Linked DNA regions of Oryzias latipes. The protein of the gene in region 1 interacts with the protein of each later gene in a pairwise test. Links are inferred from orthologs where the notes say so. Each region holds a gene or a part of one and is shown in the gene's direction. Other genes may lie near its edges.

Region 1 (3,776 bases):
TTCATTTTTCTGTAATTACAATGTACCAATAAGTGCTTAAATAGGCTCCGTTTCCGTCCGCCCCCCCCTTTTTTTCCCCCTAAGGAAATCCTGTAATACTTTTATTCCTTGCAAACTTGGTGTTTGTGGCTTTCTGAACTGAAGGTCAAATGTTTGGCATTTGTCGTGCAGCCAGCGAGGAGCTGTGGTCCGAGGCAGATTCGTCATGTTCAGGACAACCCATTCACCTGTGGCAGTTCCTCAGAGAGCTCCTGCTCAAACCGCACAACTATGGACGCTGCATCCGCTGGCTCAACAAAGAAAAAGGTACAGAGGAGTTACCATAGCAGTTCAAATGTGAGATTTTGTTGTTGTTGTTGCCTATTTTGTCTTTTTTGGACAGTTTTCAACGAAGAAAGGTAAACACTGAGTGAAAAACTGTTGAGTTTAAGAACTTTAAAATAAAAAGAGAACTTTACATGTGTAGTTTAACATTAGCCAAAGATACAACAAAATATAATGTAACAAAATAAGTTTAGGTTAAGGGACTGGTGTTAAACTCCAGGCCTCGAAGGCTGATGTCTTACATGTTTTCCAACTTATTTGCCATTGTTGCTTCTTATGGCTAAAATATTGACTGGGGTTTGACATCCCTGAAAGTGATTTGGTTTATTCCACTAGAGCCTGTCCAAAATCCCGCTAAAGACTTTTTTCAGATACCTTTGTGTCAATTTCGTAAGACTGGCTGCTTCATCAGGAGGTCCAGAACTCCTGGTTACTGGAGATGTTTCGACGTTTTTTTTTTAACTTTACAGTTCCAGCCTTCACAGAAACTTTCTGTGTTGTAGATAATAAATCTACTATCATCTGGACCTCATTTGTTTTCATTTTTTTCTCAGATTCTGTTTGCATTACTAGTACAGCATGGTAATCCACATAATCAGAGTATCTAGACTCATATATGGCCCTTCTAATTTATGATTTTGTTAGATGCTTTTATGAAATTAGTTTCTTTTTTCAAACTCCAACTCAGCTGCAAACTTCACTAATGTTTTTTTGCTAGTGTAAATTAACAAGTAGATTAAGGTTCACAATAAAAACAGATTTTATAGACTATATAAAACATTTTTACAGAATTGTTAAAACCAAAAATGAACTTTAAAAGCCATTTTTGTCCGTGCGTGTTTGACGTCTATTTGATGTCTTGTTTTGTGTCTGGTCAGGTATTTTTAAAATCGAAGACTCAGCTCATGTGGCCAGACTGTGGGGGCTCAGGAAGAACCGACCCGCCATGAACTATGACAAGCTGAGCCGCTCCATTCGTCAGTACTACAAGAAGGGCATCATCAGGAAGCCTGATGTGTCCCAGAGACTGGTGTACCAGTTTGTTCACCCAGTATGAGGGATGACAGACGGAGGAGGAGCAGGTGGAGGTGGAAAAATGCTTTAGACCATAGACTCTCACTTGATTCATTAACCCCTAAAATGAAAGGTGGGAAGAGATGTGCACTGACTGTCCTCAACGCCACAGTCAGTGCTTTAGAAGCGGCTGGCTGCTGCAGCAGCGAGGAGGCTGTTCTGTGTGGGCGCCGTGAGCAGCACACGTCCTGCTGGTCCTGCTGCAGAACCCAATGAATGCATAGAGATTAACCCTTGTGCTATCTTAGATGACCCCACCCTTACATTGAGGTGTTATTCCTACCATGACAAAGGTGGATAAAGGTGGAAAGATTTCATGTAATCCATGGACACCAGTGAAGATCACAAATCATTGAAGAAAAAAAGTTCAGCGCACTGTCTAGTGGGTCTAGATGACCCAACTCCCAACGTTAAAGTGCCTCGGATAGCACAAGGGTTTCACAGATTCAAATAAACAAACTGCTTTATTGTTTGCCTAACCTGACTGTTTATCTTTTCACGTGACTCAGACTAAAAAAAACAACAACGCTTTTCTGATGAAGCTCAACGCAAACCCCTCCCCCATCTGCAGCTTTTGTTTTACGTCATGCATTTTCACCGTCAACAGATGAACGCCGTGTCCTTGAACGTCCCAAGCTGCAGGATGCAGCTCCTTCTTTACTATGTTTCTCATCACAAAAGTTCAAAAGACGACACTGATATCATCAAACCCCTCTGTGGTGATAACTTGTATTTTTGCTTTTTAAAAGTGGTGAATTCTATAATAAAACTGAAAACAAAAAATGTTTCCTGCCCACGCAGCTTTACGCAACCTTTGCTTTCATATTGTTAGAGTTTAGGATCCAATGTGATAAGATAAACAGTAAAGTGACAACTACTCTAAATAAATCCTGTATTCTTTTTTTTTTTAGTTTGATGCAACACTAATGATGTTTTAAAAATAATACAAAAGCAACAATATTAATAAAATATGTTCCCATATTGTTTTTATGTTCGGCAACACAAGACATTTCCCTTAATTTAGAAAAAAAAATGTTTTTGCATTCAGACGTTGTTTTGCGGCACAGCATTCAGCCTCAGAGAGACAAAAGTAATGTAAAAAATAAAAGCAGAACACAAATAAGCAAATAATTTGCTGTGCATATTCATTTTTTTAATAGTTTCTAAAACAGTTGTTCTTCAAGTTGAGTTTTATTAATGACCTTTTTTTTTCTTTAGGTTTCTCACAACTCTGTACTTTTTTTTTTTGCAGAAATATTTAAACAATCATACTTCCTGTCAAAGTCACACAGGACTCAAATTGTGATTGTATAATAAACTATTTTATCATCATTATAGTTAAGTCTTTATTTTTAAAGGAAGCTTTTGCTCGACCCTCTGGCAGTTTTTAAAATGTGATACCTTTGCCAGTTGTCATTTGAAGTGAACAAGTACCAGAAGTGGAAAGTTAGTTTCCAGTCAACGGATCTTTTTTTTCTTAGTTTCAGCTGCAAAATTTTAAAAAAAACTGCTACTTTGATAGAAATATAGTAGTTCTTAAGACTACCTGTAACTAATAACCTGTTTGAGCAGCTGTCAGTGAGATAAATGAAAGACAAACAAAAACTGATCAAAAATGTACACAGTAAAGCCACTTTTCTTTTCCATTGCTGAAGTATTTCCTGTAATGTGTAGAAGGAAGCAAAAAGTAAAAGACAGACCAGGCAGGAAACAATGGAAACTACTGTCATCTGTAAATGTATGCATAGCTGAGAAACAAACAGCAATAAACAAATGAGGTTTTGCACAAATTGTATCACGACTCATTGTGACTACATTTGTTTCTGAGCAGAAATCATTGAACTTTACTGGATTAAAGATTAGGTTTTCAAACAGGCAGAAAGTCTTTTGGAGTCCCCTTTAAAATTGAAGATGGTCCCAGAAAAGCTGGTCGCTCGGGACCTCTAGTGGTAATATCTGTGTACTGACTGTGGAGTTGATCTTTAAGTGTTTGTTGAAAGAAATTGGCATCAAGCTAAGTTTTTGTTCAGGTGTGTGACTGATTAATGTTCTGTGGCAAAATGTCCCCTATTCAGGAAATACTTAAAAAGCCACTATTGAAAAGGCTCAATAAATGTCCTTTTAATTCGGCTTTGTCAGAGGTCAAAAGGTCACACCCTTTTTACGCTCATGCATGAGCGTAAAAATGTAACTTTTTCTTTTGTTTCAATGTTTTAAAAAAAACATTTAATAATAATAAACACACACATATGCACACACGCATCTTCTCAAACACACGCACACACATTTTGCAAGGAAGATGGGACCTATGACCATCTGTCCCCTGCCCCTTCCCTGGTGGGGGGTACGGGGCCCTTGGCAACGGCGGCCGTGTCCCT
Region 2 (3,185 bases), on another chromosome or scaffold:
GATTCACCACCAGCGTATCTGTAAATGTTCAGAGCACAATGAGTGAAAAAAAGGGAACTATAGCTGGTTTGGAAAAGAGAGCAATCATGTGGATTGTTACATAATGAGGGCTAAGGATGACCGCATTGAGGGATGCTCAAAAAGAAGTTCGTTCAAACATGTTAGCACAGCTCACAGGTGCGACTCCTGCCTTCTCTCATGCCCTTATGGTGCTTACATGATTTTTTTCTAAGGAAAACAAGGAGTTTTACACAAAAAACAAAAACTACGTGGGGGTTTTTGTTTCAAAGATTTTAGATCAATCTTCATTTTATCCTTTAAAGCATTTGCTATGGTCAAAATTATTATGTGAAGAATTATGAAAGATGAAATGGAGTGTCTAGACGATGGGATTCTCAAGCAGACAAGTCAGAGCTAAATACATCACACTGCTCATCTTAACACTGTGTTGACAAGACAAATGTTGAAGCTAAAGCAGAATTTCAAGGAGTTAAGAGCAAATATTGAAGTGTTTTTTGAGGATCAACACGTAGACACCAGAAGGTATGTGGCGGGTCGTGTTTATCATACCTGCATTCAGACGTTTCCTGATGAAGCTTGAAATCCCAGAGCAACACGGATGTCTCTCACTTGGCGGAAAGAGGTCAAACCGCACGGCAGAGAACAACAAATAAGCAGCCAGCAAACAATGAGTGTGTCCATTCAGGAGCCGGCTGAAATGTGTCAAACTCATTAGTGCTCCAGGAGGTTTGACCACCCACCCTGACCCCTCTGCCCTGCTACTGCACAGACTTGTCTCCCTAGGCCACTTTGTTGCTACTCCGAGGTGATGGGGAGTCAGGATTAAGACATAAATCCATTTAACTGCTATGGCACCATGGACTTAAAGAATGTCTGGGGCAGAAAGTTTCATTCTGCTCAGAGAACTCAGTGTTCCACTGCAAAATGAAAGTCTATTTCAGTCTCTTTTCACATTTAACTTTGGCTTTTGTGATGAAATAATATTACATTCATGCAAACACTTAATTCTAAAATACATATTGTCAATATCTTATTACTGACGTATAGATTTAGACATTTTCCGAACCTCCAAGTAAGTGAGCAATAAAAATCTGTAAACCATGAAGCTTTATTTGCACAGGTTAAGTTGACAAACCAAGAAATAAAATAAAAAACAATTTTACAAAAAAAATGTGAAGATTTTTTTTTGTTTACTACTTCCAGAAACATAAATATTATTCTATTTAGAGCTATAAGGCTCATTAGACTGAAGTATGCTAATTGATTTTCAAAGTTAAAAACGTCACAATTTCTAAATCAAAAGCATTCTTTTGATTTGATAAGAGTTTACTTTGAAAAATAATTTTGATTTTTTTTAATGTAAAAAACTGGATGACTCTATCTGTTCTTTAAAAAAATGCTTTCGAAATCAGCCCCTTGTATTTGCATTGATTTTTTCAAAGACACATTGTGGAAGCGTGTAGGACAAAGCAGCCTTGAAAAAATACTCCTGAAGAACAATGTCAACAAAGTCAAAACAAGGTGATCTAGAAAGGCAGACCAACTTCTATTGGACGAGTGAGCCCGCCTCCTTCACTTCAGTCTGAATGAATCCACCCCCACACTTCTAAAACTTAAGAACTCCCAAGTGAGAAGGACAGACACACTGTCTGAGAAGCTCCAGGTTTCTGACACACTGGATGGAAAATGTCTTCCACGGTCAAACCTGTCACGTCTTTCCTCATCGAGGACATTCTGTCCAATAAAGGCAGCACAGGATTTAGTGGTAAATTCAGCTCTCTGAAGACAGACAGATGCTCTCAGCGGAAGGAGGATTTGGAACAAGTTCCTCCTCAGGAGTATGAAAAACAGACAGGTGAGTTTCTGTACGTTTGAGACACCACATGTGCGAATTTTTAACTGAAAGAAATGGAATTTGAAACGGATATTTACTGAGTTAACACACCTGCTTGTACTATGAGTTTGTAACAAATCACTGCAAGTAAAGTAAAAACAATTTTTCATTTGATTGCATCTGTTTTCTACATTGCAGAGTCTGTAGACCCATCCTGTTGCGGCTCCCCACAGCTGAATTTAAACTCCACGGGGAAACAGAAGCGCTCCCGAGCTGCGTTCACCCACCTCCAAGTGCTGGAGCTGGAGAAGAAATTTAACCACCAAAAATACTTGTCTGCCCCGGAGAGGGCTCACCTGGCCACCTCCTTAAGACTAACCGAGACGCAGGTGAAAATCTGGTTCCAGAACAGAAGATACAAAACCAAAAGAAAGCAGCAAACATCCGAGATGTGCAAGGATGCATACAAAGCAGACAGTTTGGGACTAAGAGAGGACTTGGTCAGATCATCACTGATTACCTCCTTCTATAAAGCTTATCAATACAAACCTTACCTTTGGGACTGCAGTGGCCCCTGGGCTCCGGCGTTATGGTGAAAATGCCTCATGATTTATTGTATTAAACAAGTTGCTGGAATTTTCTGTTTGACAAGGACTTCATATTTCTTCTCAGCTTTTGTGAATTGACCATAAAAATTCCTGAAATTGTAAACTCCTTGGACCTGACGTGGATTTACAAATCAGAGAACCCCATGACTTAATTAAGCTTCGTCTTAACAGTGCCCCCCCCCCCCCCCCCCCCCCCCCCCAAGAAATGTGTGTAAATCATTCTCAAATTACCACCATAAATTTTCTAACATTTTTTAATGGAACAATGAACCAAACCTACAAACAAGGCGAGCCTCCAAAATAAAACAAAATGTCAAAAGTCTCTTAAAGGGGGCAGCAACAACAGCAGAATGTGTGTGAAATCCTTTCAGTTTTGACATACTGGGGGCCTTTCTCTGAAAACATTTAAAGTATCTGCCGTTGAACTCTATGACTGCACCGAGATATGTGTGATGTTGTCAGTGAGGGCTAAAGAATGAGACTTGGCTCCTATAAAGAGCCACTGATCTGATTACAGGGAGATAGAGAGCTCTTCAGTTTTCTAGAGATGACATCATAAGGAGGGTAACTGTATAGAGTTGAAGTCAGTGTCTTATTTGAGACAGTTTTTTCTTTGTTTATTTGTTTATGATGTTTCACCTTGAAGATGAGATTCTCTCAGAGGAAAATGCTGTAAAAAAGAACAACAAATTTGTGTAAATTTACAAATAGAGTGACTGAAG

The links.
Region 2: the proteins of spdef (region 1) and homeobox protein Nkx-3.1-like interact in a two-hybrid assay, tested with the Homo sapiens proteins (2 studies listed by BioGRID). The link is inferred for Oryzias latipes from reciprocal best matches to the Homo sapiens genes SPDEF and NKX3-1.

The regions. Positions count from the first base shown.
Region 1 is NC_019863.2:14,623,805-14,627,580, reverse strand, and holds the end of spdef (SAM pointed domain-containing Ets transcription factor), read left to right. Parts: intron 1-171; coding exon 172-306; intron 307-1,202; coding exon 1,203-1,381; 3' UTR 1,382-3,193; downstream 3,194-3,776. UniProt on the Homo sapiens protein: May function as an androgen-independent transactivator of the prostate-specific antigen (PSA) promoter. Binds to 5'-GGAT-3' DNA sequences. May play a role in the regulation of the prostate gland and/or prostate cancer development.
Region 2 is NC_019867.2:16,767,568-16,770,752, reverse strand, and holds homeobox protein Nkx-3.1-like, read left to right. Parts: upstream 1-1,632; 5' UTR 1,633-1,707; coding exon 1,708-1,876; intron 1,877-2,053; coding exon 2,054-2,451; 3' UTR 2,452-2,644; downstream 2,645-3,185.